5 linked regions of the Callithrix jacchus genome follow. The protein of the gene in region 5 interacts with the protein of the main gene of each other region in a pairwise test. Links are inferred from orthologs where the notes say so. Each region holds a gene or a part of one and is shown on either strand. Other genes may lie near its edges. The genes, in order: PIAS4, PIAS3, UBE2I, TOPORS and SATB1.

Evidence for each region.
Region 1: the proteins of SATB1 (region 5) and PIAS4 interact in a two-hybrid assay, tested with the Homo sapiens proteins (2 studies listed by BioGRID and IntAct). The link is inferred for Callithrix jacchus from reciprocal best matches to the Homo sapiens genes SATB1 and PIAS4.
Region 2: the proteins of SATB1 (region 5) and PIAS3 interact in a two-hybrid assay, tested with the Homo sapiens proteins (2 studies listed by BioGRID and IntAct). The link is inferred for Callithrix jacchus from reciprocal best matches to the Homo sapiens genes SATB1 and PIAS3.
Region 3: the proteins of SATB1 (region 5) and UBE2I interact in a two-hybrid assay, tested with the Homo sapiens proteins (3 studies listed by BioGRID and IntAct). The link is inferred for Callithrix jacchus from reciprocal best matches to the Homo sapiens genes SATB1 and UBE2I.
Region 4: the proteins of SATB1 (region 5) and TOPORS interact in a two-hybrid assay, tested with the Homo sapiens proteins (2 studies listed by BioGRID and IntAct). The link is inferred for Callithrix jacchus from reciprocal best matches to the Homo sapiens genes SATB1 and TOPORS.

Annotation. Positions count from the first base shown.
Region 1 is NC_133523.1:3,790,941-3,794,451, reverse strand, and holds part of PIAS4 (E3 SUMO-protein ligase PIAS4), read right to left. Parts: intron 1,972-3,511; coding exon 1,841-1,971; intron 1,730-1,840; coding exon 1,470-1,729; 3' UTR 1-1,469.
Region 2 is NC_133519.1:8,291,602-8,295,593, forward strand, and holds the start of PIAS3 (E3 SUMO-protein ligase PIAS3), read right to left. Parts: upstream 2,803-3,992; 5' UTR 2,712-2,802; coding exon 2,688-2,711; intron 712-2,687; coding exon 294-711; intron 138-293; coding exon 53-137; intron 1-52. UniProt on the Homo sapiens protein: Functions as an E3-type small ubiquitin-like modifier (SUMO) ligase, stabilizing the interaction between UBE2I and the substrate, and as a SUMO-tethering factor.
Region 3 is NC_133513.1:3,564,866-3,568,907, forward strand, and holds the start of UBE2I (SUMO-conjugating enzyme UBC9), read left to right. Parts: upstream 1-1,240; 5' UTR 1,241-1,376; intron 1,377-1,706; exon of another isoform or gene 1,707-1,973; intron 1,974-4,042. UniProt on the Homo sapiens protein: Accepts the ubiquitin-like proteins SUMO1, SUMO2, SUMO3, SUMO4 and SUMO1P1/SUMO5 from the UBLE1A-UBLE1B E1 complex and catalyzes their covalent attachment to other proteins with the help of an E3 ligase such as RANBP2, CBX4 and ZNF451.
Region 4 is NC_133502.1:139,735,161-139,739,115, forward strand, and holds the start of TOPORS (E3 ubiquitin-protein ligase Topors), read right to left. Parts: upstream 2,806-3,955; 5' UTR 2,656-2,805; coding exon 2,653-2,655; exon of another isoform or gene 2,546-2,652; intron 1,208-2,545; coding exon 1,013-1,207; intron 1-1,012. UniProt on the Homo sapiens protein: Functions as an E3 ubiquitin-protein ligase and as an E3 SUMO1-protein ligase. Probable tumor suppressor involved in cell growth, cell proliferation and apoptosis that regulates p53/TP53 stability through ubiquitin-dependent degradation.
Region 5 is NC_133518.1:57,115,771-57,120,033, reverse strand, and holds the start of SATB1 (DNA-binding protein SATB1), read left to right. Parts: upstream 1-1,461; 5' UTR 1,462-1,467; coding exon 1,468-1,678; intron 1,679-4,263. UniProt on the Homo sapiens protein: Crucial silencing factor contributing to the initiation of X inactivation mediated by Xist RNA that occurs during embryogenesis and in lymphoma.

The sequences.
Region 1 (3,511 bases), on a different chromosome or scaffold from region 5:
TCGACCTTTTTTTATTTCCATTTTTTAAAAACAATTAAATTAGAATACAAATACTAGAAAACTGTGGCCTTCAGCTGCCCGGGGCCGGGCTGCCGGCTCTGCAGAGACTGAGCTGCCCTGGGCCAGATGCACGTCCCTTTCTGTAGACCTGAAATGATATTGCTTCCTGACTAGGAGTTCTGTTTATACAAAGGAAGATTCTGGGCCGGGGAAGACAAAAGCAAAACAGACCGCAAGGAGCGGTGTTGGAGAACCAGGTGAGGCCGGCGCCCCGCCTGCGCCCCGGTCTCCTGGGGGGCGAGGGGTCGCCCAGCTACAGGCTCCTGGAGGCAGAGCCCCCAAAGCCCCCCCTTGTTGGACCCTGAGGCCAAGGGCATGGGTGGGGCCTATGAGGGGCAAGGAACCCCTGGGGACAGGAGGGAGGCCCCGTCTGGTCTGGTCCCGCTGGAAGAGCGAGGCTCCCGGGGGACAGGGTGCCGGGCCAGCCTCGTACCCGTCGGAAAACCCAAGAGCAAAAAGAAGGGAGAGGAATCAACCCAAACCGAGAGCCAGGGCGGCCGGAGTCCCCACTGCCCCTTGGGAAGCCACCACCCCCCGTCCTGAGGACCAGGGTGTGGTGGTGGCGGCGGTGGCAGCTGTGGACATCTGTGGACATCTGTGCTGTTCCGTAGGGAAGTTAACCTGAATTGGAATTACCGAGGTAGCTGGCTAGAAAACTGAGACCCCCCCACGCCACACGGTGCCGCACCCTGACCCCCACCTTCCCCAGGGGTTCCTGGCCACACGCCGGGTCTTCAAAATACCAAATTATTGCACTTTCAAAAAATACAACACATCTGTGGCTAAACCCTCCCCAGCCCCCAACCGTGCCCTCAACCTGCCCGCCCTCCTCCCACTCCTGCCCCTCCCTGCCCCAACCCACTCCATGGCTTCTTGGCTAAAACGCTCGCTGCTAGGAGCGTGAGGGTCTCTGGGTGAGGCCGCGTTTGCAGAGAGAAAGCAAAGGAAGAGACACACGACAAAGTGGCTGCCAGAGAGGGGCTGCGCCCCACCCCGCCGCCCGGGTCCCTGCGCCCTGGCTGAAATGGTCATGGGAAGAGGGCAGCGGGCAGCAGGGTGTCCTGAGGGGAGGATGCGGGGCGGCGTCCTGGTCCCTCCCGCCCACCACCCCTGCCCGGCTCTGACTCCAGCCGGGGAGGTGGCTGTGTGGGTGGCCGGCCTTGTTTTTAAGAGTTTGACTTTTTCGTTTCATTTTTTTTGTATTTTTTTTTTTTTTGTCATTTTACTGTTTTTTAATCCCCTGACAGGAGAGTCCAGAGGTACAGGTGCCAGGAGCCAGGCAACGGGGTGGAAAAACAAAACGAACGACAATAAAAAGAAAAAAAAGGTCACTCCTCCCTCTGCGCCCAAGGCCGGCCCCGCGCCCCTCTGCGTGGTGAGCACCAGGAAAGTCGCGTGTCCGGCCAGGGTCAGCAGGCTGGCACCAGGCCCTTCTGGAAGGGGCAGCGGCGCTTGGGCCGGGGGCCCTCGTCGTCCTCGTCCTCGTCCTCCTCCTCCTCTTCCTCCTCATCCTCCGAGGACGATGAGCTGTCCAGCGTGAGGTCCACCACGTCTGTGCCCGGTTTCCCATTCTCCACACTGCCCGCTGGGCCGCCGCCACCCGTGCTGCCCAGTGCACTACTCCCGTTGACACTGGGAGTGGGCAGGAGCCCACTGGCATCTGAGGGGCCTGCAGGCGACAGGCACAGGACGAAGGTACTTAGGACGCAGCTACTGACAAATAGGGAAACTGAGGCGGCCTGGCTGGGGACCGTGCAGTCAGCGGTGGCGAGGCACTCACCCAGCACGAGGATGGTGCCCTGTGGGCTGCAGCTGCGCTCCTTCTCGGCACGGATTGGGCACCATGAGCCGTCCACCAGGTATTCGATCTCGTCGGCGTCCTCACACTCGCTCAGGATCTTCGAGAGGAGGCTGGAGCAAGGCAGAGAAGCTGAGCCCTGGGCTGGGGGCACCCCGCCCACGCAATCCACAGCACACCATCCCGTTCAAATGCAGCCAGCCACTGCCCACTTCTCTGTGCCAGAGCGCCTTCACCACCCCGACCAGGGCGGCCCAGGAGCACTGCCTTCCTTCCCTGCCACGGCCCCTGCAGCTGCTGAGCCCTAGGCAGGTCTGCAGGTACACACATGCATATGTGGATGGTGTGGCCATGAGCACGTGTGAGTGTATGTACGTGCACACATGTGAATGTATGCATGTGTGGATGTGCACACACGTGTATGTGGATTGTTCGGACGTGGGCACATGAGCATGTGCATACATGGGCATGCGCTGTGTTAATGTAGGCACGCGTGCATGTGAAGGCGCAGGCTGCAGACATGTAAGCATGTGGCGTGCACGTGCCAAGTGTGAGCCTGTGGGGGTGCGCACACTCATGCCTTCACATTGCACTGTGTGCCAGCAGACCAGGAAACCTCCTTGGGGGGAAGGTGTGGGCTGCTCAAAGATCCTGCAGAGGCTGTGAGGGTAGCACTGGGAGCAGAGCGGGGATCCCCCCATGCCCATCACAGCCACAGCCTCTCCAGAGCTTGCACCCCACCCAGTGTCCGGCCTTCTTACTCAAGAGTCCTAACAGCCCTATTTTATAAATGGGCAAACAGAGGCCCAGGAAACGGATGAGTCCTGAGGACCCAAGGACAATCGGAGGCAGGCCCTGGTTCTGGGGCATCCTAGCCAAAGGGCCTCGGTCTCCCCACCTGCAGAATGGGAAGGGTGCAGTGGCCAACGGGGGCATCTGAAGGGAGACCCCCCCATGCCCACAGGTATAGGCAGGGCCACGTATCACAGAGCAGGCTGGCCTGTAACTGTCAAGGCTGCAGCGGCTCCCAGGTGCCTGCGGCAGCGTCACTCTCATCACCAAGGAGAAGAGGCCTCTTCACGCTCTGGGCCACCCTCTGAGGCCTATGGGACTCCTCTCACCCAGGTCAGCCCCGCCCACCCCTCCTACCCTCACCCTGAGGCAATGCTCAGAGCTCACTGTGCCAGGGCCATCCCAGGCATGGGACCAGCTCTGCCTGCTTGCTTCTTTGCCTGCAAACTCCTACTCAGCCTCTGAAACCCCATCCCACAGCGTCCCTTCCCCTCCTTGACAGGCACAGCAGCAGGAACATTATGCCTGGCTCTGCTCCTCCATCCGCCCCTAGCAAGGCTCTCCAAAGGCAGGGTCTGGGAAATGACTCTTTTGGGAACCCTGGGGTCACCCAGCTCAGGGCTAGGGACAGACAGGTGACAGGCCTCATGGAGAAATGTATGAACCAAGGAGCCCTCCTTCAGGAAGCCTCCCTGGCTACACGGAGTACCGGTGGCTGCTGAGACCAAGGCCTACGTGGGTCACGGCTGCCTGGCCCAGCCCTGCCAGCCCTGGAGCCGAGAGCCCAAGCCCAGCTCAGGCCTGTGGGGGAAGGCGGGCAGCGGCCGCACAGCTGTCAGGCCGGGAACAGAGAGGCCATTC
Region 2 (3,992 bases), on a different chromosome or scaffold from region 5:
AGCCCAGGGGTAACCCTCCAGGGATGAGGCAGGAAGACTGAAAGAAATGTACCTGGATGTAAGAATCTGCTGCACTTGCTGGGGTGTGAGGGCAAAGGTAAAGTGTGCTTCCTCAAACCGCTGGCTGGAAGTGGATGCTGAGGACACAAAATGGCAGTTATTCCAAGCCCATGCACAGGCAGCCACAGAAATCACCCCCATCCATGCCGCCAATCCCACAGTACTAAAGCCTCTGAAATGTTTGGGGAACAGCCATGGAGTCCAGAAGACTAAGGGACCACAAAGAGCCATACCAAGGGTGGTGGGCCGGATGAGCTCCCCGTAGACCTCATAGAAGGGCAATGGTTTCATGGTGACATCAGGGTGCACAGGCTGGGGCAGAGGGGGGTGCATGTCCACCTCACGCTTGGGGCCCAGCAGGGTGCCAGGGGCCAACAGGGTTGGGGGAATGGGAGCTAGAGGGCCAGGGGAGCCTACAGGAGAGGTGCCAGGGGGCAAAGAGAGCAGGGAGAGATCAGAGGGCCCCAGGGCCTTCCGGGGAAAGCGACGTCGGTAAAGCTCTTTGATCTTCATCTGGACACTAGGGGCACAGCTGGACTTCAGGAGGTGCAGGGCCTTGGCCAGGAGCTCGTGCTTCCGTCCACTCTTGTTCCGGCCAGCAAAGCCAAGAAGCACCTGGAGCTCAGACACCCGGAAACTCATCACCATGTGCTGTGGAGAAGAACACAGGAGCCTGAGAATCCTACCTCGCACAGGCCTGTCCTGCCAAGACATGGGCTGAGCTACCAGTTGGGCAGTGCCTTTTTCCCTCCACCTTCCCTGATGGGGAAGATGATGCTTTAAGCTAGTGGATTACTGCCAGGTGGTCGACCTATCCAAAGGGACATCTCAGCCCCACTTTAGCAACCCAAAGGTCAGCAGATCACCACCCGCCAGAGCTTGAACAACACTATCTTCCCAGGCCTGCAAGCAGCCAGAGTGGGGCAGGGAATGCAGACAAGAAGCCATCCTCAGGCACACCTCCGAGTCCACTGCAGCATCCCACCACCATCCCTGCCTCTAGTCTGGACTGTCCTTTAAGCTGCTTATCTTCTCTCTTGCCCTTTCTCAGACTCTCAAACCCATCCCAGCCTCCTGGGAAGAGGACAGGAGACAGGGAGAACCAGGGAGAGGAGACAATTCACGCCAGACTCACCCATGGGGAAGAAAGGGGCCAGGTGGCTGGAGGATTGTGCCCTTCAGCCCACCCCCCAATCACCTTAATTTGCCTAGGCTATTTCCCCCAAGCCTCTGAAGCTTTTGTGGCCAGGATTTTCAGGTCAGGGTTCAATGCTCATAACTCCCCCAGATCCTTTCTTGGAATCATTTATATAACCGCCCCTTCTGTGAGACTTAGTCCTATTTTTCTGGAAGGGAAACAGGACCAAAACTTGGGTCTGGGGGTGGGGGGCTGTTAACAGTAAACCGCTGAGTCCAGGTATCCTGCCTGATAACTCTCTGTCTGTCAGGAACCATTATCCCGCTTCTCTCCTACATAGAGAAAGTAACACCCCGCTACAACCTACAGCCCCCCTGTAGGAGTGGAAGAGGAGAGGGCAGAGCTCTAAACAGAGGCCCTGGCTGGCTGAAGAAAAAGCCTCTGAGTCAGGGCACAGAATCGCAAATTCTCTGAAGGTAACTGGGCCCAGTGGCTAGACCTCCAGCCTGCCCAGGACCATAGCTTCATTGCAAAGGGCAGAAGAAGCAAGCCAGGAGGCAGGGGGATGAAGCCAGTGGTTTAAGGTTTTATCAGATGTCCTCACACGTGGTCATCCTCAAAACTCTGTGAGGCAGAAGGGGAGCGCTCTCCTTAGGGGACTCCCTTCTGTGAATCTCCAGGAGGTCATGTCGTGGGCAGGGCATGCTGGTCCTACACAATTCTTCTCATAGGAGGCTTTGTCTTGGGCCCCTTTTGTGGAACGTGATGAGAAACTTGCTCCTCTTTCTCCCCATCCTTATCTCCTCGGTCCTGTCTTTTTTTCCCCATTAGCTTTCCCTGTAACTTCCCTCCTTTCTATCCCACAGTTTCACGTGCCTCTGCCGCCGCCCAAACACCGCGATTCACTAAGGCAGCACCTTCCTCCGCGCCTCCAGGATGCTTCTGCCCCACCCCTCGGTGTCGGCCCGCACAGCCCCGCCCCCTACATCTCAGCCGCCTACTGGTATTTCCCAAAGCTCGGATCCCGAGAGCACCCCCAAAGCCCCTATCCTCTCGGCTGCCTTTCCCTCGGAGCCCCCCCCACATCTGCCCCACGGTCCCATCCTTGCATCTGCCCCCTGCTGTCGCATCTCTCGGCCTCGATGGACTCGCCCGGATGCCTCTACAGCAGCTTTTCCCCCTGGCCCTACCCCAACAACTGCCCCTGCTACTAAATCCGCCTGCTGCCCCTCGTCCCCGCCCCCTGCGCCTCAGCCCCCAGCAGCTGCAATTCCCCTCGGCCCCACCCCTACATCTGCCCCGCAGCCCCGCCCCCGGAGCCCGCCGCAGCCCCTTCCTCGCTCGCAGCCACTTCTCTCCCATCCTCAGCCGCCCGCCCCTGCCACGTCGCCGGCGCCCACCCGAGCCCCGGCACCCAGTCCCGGTCGCTTCCCGGACACGGCGCACCGCCGGGCTCAGGCCAGATGGGGGTGGGGGAGGGGGCCGGTACCTTTAATTCGCCCAGCTCCGCCATCTTGAGACATCGCAGGCGCCCCAGCCGGAGCCGGAGCTCAGGCCCAGGGACCGGCGCACAACTCTCCACCCCGGCGCCGGCCGCAAATGCCGCCTGCTCCGCCCCGTCCGGCCCCCTACACCTCCCCTTCCCGGCCCCGCCCGCCGGGCTTCGGACTAGCCCCAGCCTGAGCCCCTCCCTCCACAGCGGACCCAGCGGCTACACGTCTGCGGCGGGTTGGCAGGACGGGTGGCCTCCGAGGCAGCGTAAGGCCCCGAAGATCGCGGGGTCCCCGAAGGCAACGGAGAAGGAGGCGGGCCCGAAGTGCCCGGTGGAGGGTGGCTTTGCCACAGCAGAGTTGGGAGGGGACGAGCTTTTAGGGAGCCAAAGATCCTTGAAAGATGGAGGGAAAGTATCCGGAACTGCTAGACCTGAGAGAAATGGGGGAGGGGGCAGCGAAGTTGGAGCGCAAACCCTCGTCTCCAGCTCTACGTAAAGTTTAAGCAACTACGATCCAGAGTTCTTCCAGCCCGGGAAGTCAGCGAGCGCCGATCCGTCGTGGGGAAGCCGTGGAGTCGGCATTCGGTTCAAGACGGCCACGCTCAGTTGTTCCCACTCCTCCTCCCCCACACACCAACCACAATGCAGCTCGCGGTCCCATCGCAGGACCTCAGCTCCGCAGCGGAAAAGTTTGGTGCGGGGAGCGGGACTTACCAGCACAGCTGGGGGGAATGGAGAGAGGGCTCGGGAGGCTCAGAGGGCGGGCTGGAGAGGTGGGGGCAAGGGGCTCCGCGCCGCTGCTGCTGTCCGCTCGGCAGAAGTTCGGTCCGGAGCCGGACGCAGCGGCCGCGGCTCCGCCCGGGCCGGAGCTCCGCCCGGCCTAGCACTCGGGCTGGGGCCGCCCCCTCCAAGGGAAGCCCGCCAGGACCGCGGAGAGGGGAGCGGGGCGGAGCTCGGGTGAGAGAGGGAGGGACTCAGAGCCTGGCTCTGGAGCGATTAACTCCTGGTGTGAGTGGATCTGGAGAAAAGAGATTCTTGGATCCCATCATTCTCACTCCCTCTGTGACCCCTCACGCTAATGTATGGGATTGGGGTGGTGGGATGCTGCTGTTACGGCGGTGTGATCCAGGTGTCTGACCGTATAAAGCAGTCTTCCTTCAAAAGACAACTGTCCCTTCCTAGGGCAAAGCCTGGGCCGGTGAATCCAAAGCGTATCTAGCAGTAAGTACTGCAGATACACATGCACAATACCTCCACCAGAGTCCCCATACCCTTGGTGTAGCTGAAGGTGAATACTTACCC
Region 3 (4,042 bases), on a different chromosome or scaffold from region 5:
GAGAATGAGTGAGGGAGGGAAAGAGTGAGAGATGGAGGGAATGAGTGAGGGAACGAATGAGGGAGAGAGGAAATGAGTGAGGGAGGAAATGAGTGAGGGAGGGAATGAGTGAGGGAGGGAATGAGTGAGGGAGGGAATGAGTGAGGGAGGGAATGGGTGAGGCAGGGAATGAGTGAGGGAGGGAATGAGTGAGGGTGGGAATGAGTGAATGAGGGAGAGAATGAATGAGGGAGGAAATGATTGAGGAAGTGAAGGAATGAGTGAGCGAGTAAAGGAATGAATGAATGAATGAATGAGTCAGTGAGGGAGGGAATGAAAGAATGCGGTCATTCCCCGTGGTCCCCAAGCGCCCGGACACAGTGACCTTGGCAGCGACCCCGCCGTCGGCGAAATGGGGGTGGGCGGGCCAGGAGAGCCCGGGGCCAGCACAGCCGCGCGTTGGCGGAGCGTCCAGCGCGCTCGCGGGGCTGGGGGCCTCCCGACCCGGTCCCCGCGGTTGGCGCGGGGATGGGAGTGGGGGTGGGGCCGGGAAGCGCCCCTCCCCCACGGGCCCGCCCCGCCCCCGCCGCTCGCAGGCCCCGCGCCCCGCCCCCGCCCAGGGTCCGCCCCCAGGTTAGGGAACATCCTCACTTCTCCTCCCGTCGGTCATGCGCGCATTCGGCCTTTTGTACCGGGTCAGCTCATTGGGCGGATGAGAAGATTTCCCCGCCCGCCGCCCCGAACTGGCCAATTGCAAGAGGTTTCACAGGGCGCTAAACTAGCGGGAGCGTCACCGTCCTGCGACGCTTCAGGGTATCCTTAGGCCTCAGTGGTCTTTGCCCCCAGACCCCAGGCCCTGACCCCAAGGAAACCTCCGGGACGTGTGCCTGGAGAGGTGACTTCCGGGTATCCAGGGAGCTTTTGGAGTTCTCGGCCTCCTTTTGCCCCCGCTGCTCGCCGGCGCGTCCTCGGATGGACGCGGGCGCCCCGAAGGGGAGTTTGCAGACGCTCCCTCACATCGGGGACGCGGCTCCTTTAAGGGTGTAGGTGTCCAGGGCGCCGCCTGACTGGAAAGTCGCCCCCCGACCGGGCTCCTGGGGCGGACCCGGGTCGCGGGCGCGCGGTGGCGGGGCCCGGGCGGCGGGGGGCGGGTGGTGGCGCGGGCAGCACTCGGGGCGGGACGGCGGCGGCGGCGCGCGAGGCAGGCTTGCGGAGGGCAGCCCCGCGCCAGGCCCCGCCTCGCGCGCCCCGCCCGCCCCAGGGTCCTCGGAGCTGCTCGGGCTGCGCGCGGAGCGGGCTCCGGAGGGAAGTCCCGAGACAAAGGGAAGCGCCGCCGCCGCCGCCCCGCTCGGTCCTCCGCCTGTCCGCGACGCTCGCCGGGGCCGCGGCCGCCCGAGGTGAGCGCGGGCGGGGGCCGGGCCGGGGCCGCGGGGCGGGGGCGGGCTAAGGCCTCCAGCGCTGTCGGGCCCGGGCCCCCGGCTGCCCCGCGCCCCGCCCCGCCGAGCCCGGGCCCCGCGTCGCGGCCGAGCTTCCCAGAGAGGCCCCGCGCTCGACGCCGGCCCGGCCCGCGGTGCTGGCGTCGCGGGGCTGTAGCCCGAGCGCCCGGTTCGCCGTAGGCCCTCGGGGCCGGGGCTCCCCCACTTCGCCCTCGAGGTGCGCCTGGCGCGGGGCCGGGGCAGCCACCTGCAGCCGGGGCCCCGCGAGGCCGCGCCTTCCTCCTCCGCGGCGAGCGGCTTCCGGGGTCACGGTCGCCCGCGGACGACGAGGATGGGCCTCCGGGGGGAGAGCCGCGGATTGCAACAGCGCTGACTCGCGCGGGTGGGGGCCGGCGGGCGGGCGGGCGGCTCTTCGGGGCCTTCAAACCGAAACGCGTCCAAGTTCTCTCGCGCCGCTGAAGACGCCCCGCCGGCGCCGCTGGTGGGAGTTTGGTCCGGTCTCGGGCCGCTTTGTACCGGTTGAATCGTGGTTGGCTCTGGAAGTTGGGGCCGTAGGAGGCAGGTGCGGGGTGACGCGCTGGGCTTGTGGTCGTGGCCTGCGGTCAGGCGCGAAGCGCAGGACGAAGTGGTTCGGGGTGTGGAGTCGGGAGTCACGTTTAGTTCCTCTGTCCGCGGAGTCTTGGGGGATTTCGTCGGTTTTCTCCCTAGGACTCACCCCACCCGTTTCTTGCTCTTTAAAGAAACGTTGCCTTTGGGTAGAGAACCTAGCGGAGAGAACACAGGAAGGACCCTCAGTTTGCCCTGGGGGCTCACAAAGAGGTCCCTTCCCTAGGCTGTTGGGTGGCTGCAGGTGTCCCGGGGTTTGGGATCTCGCTGCGGAAACAGCCCGGGGGCCTGGGACAGACAGGTCAGGTGCGGCCAGGTGAGCGTGTCCCGACTGCAGGTGCCCGGGTCGTGCAGAAGGGAACATCCTCCCGGGCCTGGGAGAGTGTGCATTTGGGTGCAGGAGGACCTTTGAGGGCTTCAGGTGCGAGCCTGTCGGGGCGCCCACCTGTTCTGGTGATGAGGGCTGCGGAGCTGTGGGCGGCACTGTGGGAGATGGGCGCTTTGCTCACCCTCAGCCAGGAAGTTGCTCTGAAGTGGGTGCAGTCGGCCAGCAGAGCCAGGTGGTGATCGGACATGCTCAAGCTCAGCCCTCTGCGTGTGCCCTGTGGGAGGGCAGGCGGCAGACTTTCGGGCAGCTCCTGGAGTGCCCGGCCCAGAGGTCCCGTTGCTGCCGGTGTCTGGGCCTTGCCTGGCGCTGACAGAAGAGTTGTTTTTGTGTTTGTAGCGTAAAAGTTTCCTGTTTTGAAGCCCTTAGTGACTCCTAGCTGTTCACTAAGTGCCTATCTGTTAGTTGGGGAGGATGGATTCAGTTTTCAGTGGGATTTTTGAATGCTGGGTCTGTGTTGTGATTACATTGTAACAGATGGGCCACTTTCTCCAGTGGGCAGGCCAGCAGGAGGGGGAGCAGGGATCTTGGAGGCCAGGCCTGGCTTCTGCCTAGGATGGGTGGGTGTGCACCTGTGGCTCCCTGCCCTGATGGTAGAGTGTCCTGTACGACCCCCGCCTGGTGCTGAGTGCTTTGGGGCTGGCGGCACAGCGGCAGCAGCCCGGTCTTGGCAGGAGGTTTGGCAGGACCACCCTCATGACTTCTCACACCTGAGGCAACAATAGCTGGGGGCTGAGCACGGCCTCTGGGCGGCCCTGTCCAGTCCTCAGCAGGAAGGCCACCTGTGGCAGAGTCCCAGGCCTGCTGGCCTCTCCATGGCCTGGTCTTGCCTGGCTGTGAGCATCGGTGCCCATGGTCCTTCAGTGACTGGAGCGCTGGTCTGGGGCTTCAGAGGCCCGTCTGATGCCTGGCCCCGCTCAGACCATGGGCACCTGGGAGCTGGCGCCTTCGTGAAACAGCCACTCGCCAGGCTGCTATGCACTGCACAGGGCACAGGTTGCAGCCACTCAGAGACTCCTCCCTGGGGCTGGGGAAGCAAGAGCCCCTGAGTTCTCAGGCCGCCGGTACCAAGGTGGTGCTGGGCTACTCCATGTGGAAGAGCCAATGGAAGGGGAAGGTGGAGAAAACTCCACACCGGCTGGGGTGTGGAGTTTCAGACCCCAGCCAGTGCAGAGAGAACCTTGAAACCGTGGTTGGCGAGCACTCCAGCCTGCTTGGGACCCATACCCTGCCTGCCCCCAGCTCGGCCCAGCTGTGTCCTCCCCCACTTTCTCCCGACTTAGAGGAGGGTGTGGGGAAGGGCAAGCGGTCAGGAGGGCAGGTGGCCTGTGGACCCTCTGCGTCTCAGTGAGGAAGATGTGGGGAAGGACATCCCAGTGGGGCCCAGTCCGTGGCTGCCTCCAGCCCCGGCTGCCTGTCTTGGACTTAGTCGTGGAGCTGGAGGCCAGGGCCCAGTGGCCCCTGTCACTCTCTCCCAGTGCCACCAGCGCCTGCTGACTGGAGGACCCAGGTTCCTCTGCCTGCTTTTTCTCGGACTACCATGAGAACCCGTGTTTGGTGAAAATGAACCAAATCCCCCTGCAGGGCACGCGGCTCTAGCAACCCTGCCCGGCTTCCGGAACCCTGGTGCCCTGGT
Region 4 (3,955 bases), on a different chromosome or scaffold from region 5:
CCCAAGTATTAAAAATAAACTGGTTCCTACCTCTTGCCACCTTAAAAAAAAATCACTGTACCTCTCTGAACTGCATTTTAATCAATTCCAAAAGAATGCACAAGAGTTGTAGGATCTACCTGACGAGATCCTATCAAATTTTTTGTAGGATCTACCTGACGAGATCCTACCAAATTTAACTCCAATTCCAGCAATAAGAATTGGTTGGGAACTGCTCCCCTCTAAAACGACTCATTGCAGACAAGCATGATTGGTTTTAGCTGATTGTATAGCTTTCTTTGCATTTCATGGACAAAATCCAGAAAGCTCTTGCCACCATTAACTTAAATCTTGGGCAGCTGTTTCTTAATTTATCTTAATCTTGAAAATTACCTATCAAAAGGTCTACTCCGTTTTCATCTTAAATCACTATGTGGCTCATCTCAGCACTGCCCCTTTCCAGCCTACAATCAGCAGTCCATGAGGAAAGCTGCAGTAAATGGAAGGATGAACAAGTCACAGGCAATTTCTGCCCAGAATGCGTAACAGCACAGACGAGTGCAAGAGCCACGGTGATAGTCGTTTGCTTTGGTTCAGAACTGCCACCGGACAGACCTAAAATAAGCACCAGGCGCATTACATAATGAACTTAAATACTGTTATTCCCATTTTACAGACAGATTCAGGGGCTTAGGGAACCTAGGCAAGGTCACACACCCTGTAAGTGGTGACGCCACGATTCAGTCTCATTGCTTTTTTGTTTTTCCCAGAGACCAAGCTCTTTCCAGTACACTGCCAAGCTCGCGCCCCTCGAGAGCGCTCGTTGGAAGCGCAACCCTCGCCCGCCCGCCCGCCCGCATCAATCCACAGGTGCGCTGCAGGAGCCGCCCGGGAAACCCGGCCCTGGCCCTCGGAGGCCAAGACCGCAGGCCAAGACCGCAGCCTTCGGGTCCCGAGGCGCCGCTCCAGGCGAGAGCGCCAGCTCGCCCAGCCCCGCCGACCCCCGCGCCCCATTGTTCCGGATCTCACTCACCTCGGAAGACGCCGGCGCAGGCCCAGCTGGGGCGCTCGCCGCAAGCTCCCGTCGGCCCAGAAAGGTAGGTCGGTGACGGCAGGATCCGCGAAGGCGTACCCGGCGACTTCTCCGCCTACCCTCCGAAGCGGGGGCAGGCGGGGGCGCTTCACCCTCCTCGCGAGACAGCGGAGACCCCAGTGGCTGCTGCGACCCCTATGACGCAAAGCGCTCATCACCAATGGCAGCTCCGAAGCAGGGCAGAGAGCGAGACCCACCCCCCAGCTCCCGGCGCGTCACAACACAACACCCGCCTTCGTCACGCATGCGCAGCAGACGCGCGCCAGCCTCGAGGGCGGGGCTCAGCGCGCCGGCTGAAACGCGGCCCCTCCCCCGCCGCGCAAGAGCCGGGATGAGAGACCCTCCCAGGCTGAGAGCACGGCCCTCATCGTCAGTAGTACTCAGCCGCTTGGGACACTGGCTGAATGTTCGCCCCTAACTTACCCAGAAAACACAAGAACTAGTTCGATGTCGTTTCAAGCTCACCAAACTCTGCGGGAAGTTACGAAACTGTCTCTAGTGTCTAGATAGGGGAACTGTTACACGGACGTGAAGTCTCACCTCCTATTGTGTATCTCCAGGAAGCAAGACATGGAGTCCAAAACCAGTATCCTATAAAGTATTCAGAGAGGGATCCCCTCCAGGCTGGGGAGAAACAGGACAGCCTAACAAACAGGGCCTGGACTCTTCCCCAAACAAAACACGTTTTTCTCCACTTTTCCCCTTCCTACTCCCTGAAATCTAGACACTCTTTTTAAGAGAAACTGAGAGGTATGAAGAACGTCTAGAGCCTAAAGCGGCCCGTTGCCAGATTCTACTCCTCAGGCCTTAAATGTGAGCGTCCCAAACATTCTAGAGCTGAACCTGGTACGCTCGCCCGCAAAACTGCCGTGCTCGGGGCTTAGTATCTCACGCGCGGCCGTTGAAGAACATCAGACATGCTCAACAAACACTTGTTGCTTGACTGGTACATTATGGCGGCTAACGCGTCCCACCTATTTCTTCTTAGAGATATTATTTTTACAAGTTACACATTTAAGAATGGCTCGATTTACAGGAGTTCCCACAATGATTTGTCACATACAAAAGAGTGGGTGCTATTTTTACGTCAAAGATGAACAGACGAACGTCCATTAAAATTGTGTGGTATCAGATGCAGGCGGGGCGGGGCAGAAAGTGTTAATTCTTCCAGCGTTAGATGCCGATGTAATATTTAAAACAGATTGTTTTCCAAACTAACTTTTAAATGGACACGACAGCACCTTATCCTGCAGTACTAATGCATTGCAACTAGAAAGAAAACCAGTGGAAGCACGCCTATCTCGATTTCTCTAGCTGGAAAGAAAAAAATTAACATTTTTCTCTAAAAAAATTAACGTTTATTTCTTCCCCTCTCTAAAAGGCGGGCTAGGCCCCCGATCACGTGATCCCGCTCCCAACTCCCGGCGGAAGAGGCCGGCGAAAGCGCTGCAAGAAGCGAGTAGGCGGACGCTTGTGCCCGGCTGAAAGATGGCGGCTGCCGCTAGGCAGCCACCGCCTGGGAGGTTACTATGAGGCCCGCAGCTCCCGCCGGCTCCCGCGGACCGCTGCCGCCTCCTTACCATGAAGCCAGTGAGTCGTCGCACGCTGGACTGGATTTACTCAGTGGTAGGTCCCTGGGCTCGCGAGGCTCCACCGTTATCGACTCACTGGGCCTGCAGACATAGGGCCCTATTTCGTCAGCACCCAGTAACTCCAAAATCCATTCTTGAATTAAGCATTTCACTCCCTCACCTCGACTCCGCCTCTTCCTGGAGGATACGATCTTCCGCTTCTTACGTGAGGGCTGCTGGGTGTACCCGCCACGGGAACCCCCTTTATTCGACTTTGCTACTGTAATTCCCACCTTATCAATGGCACGGGTGACCTGACCGGGGCGAAGGGAAATATCAGGCACATTACAGTAATTTTTTGGTTTTCACACCTCTTTTGCGGTTTTTGGTTATTTTAGTTGCTGCTTGCCATCGTTTTAATCTCCTGGGGCTACGTCATCTATGCATCAACGGTGGCTGCAAGACGACAGCTAAGGAAGAAATACCCAGATAATTTTTGGGACGAATGAAAATTTGTAACTCCTCTGGATTTAATTCTCTGCAATTACATTTCTTTCCCTCATGCTTATGTAGATTTAAAAATAAAATTAATAATGCAAAGCTCCCAAGTTTATTTTTGTATTATCCTTTATAATAAGCACTAGTATGCAAATTTTTCAAATAGAAATTTTAGCATTTTACCTTCTCATGACAAAATACAGCAACCGAGATCCGAAACAGTCTTTGAGTATCAGATCATGGTTAGAATAGGCTTTTCAATCAAGTTTCTAAATTCTTTTAAATGACTCAGAACGATTTATTTAAAACAAAAGTGCTGGACTTTCTGCTCTTATATTTGTTTATTGCGATATTTCACTCTGCTGCATATACCCTGATACCAAATTAGAGTAAGTACTATGTAAGGAAAAAACCTAACATGTAACTAAATACTTTTCCATATCCTGTTTTCCAAGTTGAGAATGGCCACAAAAAGTAAGTGGTCTCTCGAATTTGTTTAGCATGTTTAGTTTTTATTTATTGTTAAATTACTCAGTCTCAAATTGTACAGTGCTTGAAAAGAGGTATGACAATTTCTGAGATTAAACTTTATTAAGTCACTCTTCCAGATAATTCAGTAAATACGGTAATGTAGGAACAAACTTAGGCTCATAAGCCTTTTAAATTTTTACATAATCTTTAATGATGTTGATCAGGAAATTCTTTCATTGGTGGAATTACTTCTCCGGTCTCCACAATTGTATCACCCTAGAGAAACAAAGATACAGTTAGTAGAAAATCTTAAGTCTACAGAGGTGATAGTTCTGTTCCATGT
Region 5 (4,263 bases):
AGAGTACAAAGATAAATAGCCATTAATGTTTCTCAAACTTTATAGTTCTTCAATTGGTATTCTTAAGGTTGCTTTTAAATCTCTAGATTAACATTGCTGTCCCCCTTTTCTTGATTATATGGTAAGAAGTAGGCTATGGTTAAACAGAAGAAAAAAATGTTTACAGAAAAACCATGCTGATACAAACTGGCTTTCAACAAATCCAGATTTAAATAGCTTCAGTATAAGAATTTAAAACAAAAACAAGCTATGTCAAATTACTAGACAGCTAGGAAAAATGGTAATTATTCTCTGGTTTTCCTAAATATGAAACCCTTAGTTTTATGAGCTCAATACTTCAAACACCATGAAAGTTCATAAAATAATTCTAATTACCTGTTCTTATCAATCCTAGTTAAAACTATACTTTAAAAATGACTTTTATATTGTCTAATCACTTTACTGTAAATGATGTGAAAATTGATGTCTAATACATAACTGAAAATAATTATCTGTTAATGTTTTGAAGTTAATTATGATGTTAACGCCATTGCATGCTGAGGTTATTTCTGAATACTGGATATTTTGTTTTACCATTATCATCAAGGTTTTTTTGTTTTTTTTTTTTTCCTATAGCTTGACACTTCAACCTAATGTGCATATCATGAACTATATTCAATTTTTAAAAAATATTTATTTTTAACAGCCCTCTATTACTAATGTACACCTAAATATTAACTCTAAAACACATGAGTTTAATGCATCAGTACATTGGATATTTGAAAACCTTTCACTTCTTTCTGTTTGCTTAGGGGTAAACTGATCCAATCATGTGTTTGACCCAAAACTTGACTAGGTCTTTAACAAGTCACATAACTCTTGAAACTTTGGTAGTAGAAAACTTTTTCTAGGCATTAACTTATGCCACTGGGGAGTTTAAAAAGCAGTTAGATGTTTGTTACTTTCTTTAGAGCTGGTTTATGTGTTTTTTATAAGAATTAAAACATATGTAAAAATAGAAACATATACATTAGATTTCTAATATTTTGAACTGTGATAATCTTTCCATCCTTTATTAAAGTGTTTCTGCTGTCTTTTTGTAATGAGTTTCTAGTTGTTAAAAATTGGGACTGCATAAATACAATTTGCTGTTTTCTTTTTAGCTATACTTCTGATAATTCTAAAAGTAAGCCCATTTTTCCTCGCTTTTTTTTTATAGGCCAATTACCTTTTTATTCATGTGTATTGGTACAGTTTCCACAGATCATTCTGTTAATTTGAATAAGAATGTAGGGCTATTATCTAGAAACATAGTAACATCTGTATTTTATCTAGAAAGGCCATTTTACAAATACATTATATTAGTAGAGAGAGATATCTAGAGCTAAAACATTTACATAGGACACATATATGCATACGGGTCCCCAACCAATTGTAACGTGTCTTCTTTTTAAATTCTGGCAGGTGATCTTTAGACAGTGACTGAGTATGGATCATTTGAACGAGGCAACTCAGGGGAAAGAACATTCAGAAATGTCTAACAATGTGAGTGATCCGAAGGGTCCACCAGCCAAGATTGCCCGCCTGGAGCAGAACGGGAGCCCACTAGGAAGAGGAAGGCTTGGGAGTACAGGTGCAAAAATGCAGGGAGTGCCTTTAAAACATTCGGGCCATCTGATGAAAACCAACCTTAGGAAAGGTAAATACTCTCAAGCCAAATCCTGGAAAGCTGAAAGCCCTGGTGTCTACACAAGGCCACATTGTGTGGGGGTGGAGTGGCAGAACATGTTTTGTATACTCTGCCTTTATTCTCTTTCTGATCTTAAATTAGTTACATTCTGGGTCCTTAGTATCAATCATGTTAGAAAGTATAGGCTCCATGCTTGGGTGGAGCATTTTACTGTAGTCTGGAATCATTGGACATTTCAGATTCTAAGGACTGAATTAAATATAATGGTCTTAGTTTACACAGGGGTCCATTCACAAGGTGTTACAGTAGAGGATTGTAGGCGGCTGTTGCTTTAAACTAACCTGATTAAGAATAAAACACTTAGGTGGTTTGAGAGCTACCCTAGCTTCTTTCTAAGATTTTTGGTTGTAAGGCAGTTTCAGAGATCTTAAAAGTCTTACACAGAAGTTTGTCATGTTATTTTTCGTGGCTTATTTTCTTCAGAGAAAATTCATTAGTATTGAAAAATCTGATGATTCTGGTCTTTAATTTTTGTTTTAATTGGGTATGCTTGATGAAGAAAGAACAGATTTAGACAAGTTTAAAGGGGAAGATGTGTAACTGTGTGACTCTTTTCTATCAATATTAAATTGATGCGGTTTAACAACTTTGACTGTGTTTAACAGTGTTGTTCCTGTAAAGCAGTGCCTCTCCCGGGTGTAATGCCTGTGCCTCATAAGGAGCTTCATTCTGTGTCTAAATAACATGTATAGGAATCAGATTTTCCTTATAATAGCTAAGCAATGGATTAAAAATGCTATATTTTAGCAACCAAGAATATTAAGTAGCTAAAGTTAGAAGGCAGAGGAATTTCATTGTGTTTGATGCATAACATTTATCATACAATCATTTATTTTTTCCTTGGTTTGGCGAAAACAAAGAATATATTGATCCTGAAATGAACAGACACAGCAGTCCGTATTGTTAGATCTTTATCTATTAAAAATGGAAAAACAGCACTTCAGCAAATTCTTTGGCCTCTACTCATGATTACCCTATTTATTGATTGTTTGCCAAGAATGTATGCATCTTAAGAAAGCCAGGGTAAGAGCATTAAAAATATAATTTATTACGGCTTTTCAAACAGAGTACATTAATATTGTACTGTGAAGCACTGGGGCTCTATAAAAAAGACTTTCTGACGCCTGCAAACATGTAAGTTCCATAAATTCCTAAATAGGAGATTTCAGCTGTCTCTGGTATTATGTGATATTTGCACAGCAAACTTTAATGCCAGGACAGTTTTAGACAAGGATTCTACAGACTTCACTGCTCCTTATGGCAGACGTGCTGTTTACACAGGCTCATAAACCTTCAGCAAAAGCTTCTAAGACTGCCTTCAGGTTTAAATCATGTGGTATTTTTAGCATTCAGCAGTGACCAGTGCTCTCCCCTTTAAATGCTGGAAGGTTATGAAGTCGCTGTAGTTGGAACTCTCACCGAACACTTGCACGAATAATCAGACAGTTCAGAGAAGGCTTATGTTCAGCGTTATTCCCAGGAACAGGAGGGTAACCGCAACAGTTTGCTAGAAGATCTGTAATTAGATGATACTCTTGTTACTTTATAGACATCTTTATTATTTTAGGGTACCTCTAAACATAATCGATAAAATCCAAAATAAATCCAATATATTTCAATAGTTTGAAAACCCTGCAGTTCATAGGTCTAAGGAAAAGCATATTGTAGAATACATCTGTTTAATCCTTCAAAAGGAAGAATCAATATGTGTGTTTTTGTTGTACTTACTCGACTCCTTGAAGATATCAGGACAGGAGGAGGAAGAACTAAAAGTACAGTAAATTCACTTCCTGCTCAAATGCTTTTTTGTTTTGTTTTTTGGATGTATGCTAAAAATGCAGTTTAATTGTAGAAGGGCCTCAGATACTTCAAATAACAAAATTGCTAAAGCCTTTTCATGGATTTTTATTAATATTTCCATCTTATTTTTCTTGTGCATGGTTTCTGTCTGACAGGTGCTAGATGAAAATTATGGCTGAGATGAGAAAGCACTACTAAGAAAAAGGGATTGAATGTTTTTATTTGTTTAGGCGATTTTGTCAAAATATCTTCAAGCCAAGGAAGAAATCACCAGTTTGCGTATTGCTATTTTTGCTGTGGTCTCCCCAAGTTGTCTTCTGATCCCTGACGGGTTCTCTCGCTGGTATAAAACAGCTGAATGAATGACAAAAATATTGGCAAGCTCTGCAGCTTGTTTTTCATGCTTATCCTATTGGTACCTCTGAATGAGTTTGTGAGTTTTCCTAAGTAAACCTAAAGGGGTTTATTTGTCAGAGCTAGAATCTCTTGTGAACAGTTCACTAAAGCTTTGGTGAAGACTCACATATAGAAAGATGTAGCTGTTTTATTGCCGGCTTTTGTTCAACAGAAACAGCAAATAGAGAATCTCTAAAGAGCCTCTCTGGTGTCAGTAGGAAATCCTGATTTTTAGCTACGGTTGCTGTGTACTACATATCTTCAGAAGTTGGTAGGATTCTGTGAGTCCAGAGGACAGAGCTTACAGAGGCATTAGTATTGTAGGACTAATTGTGGAT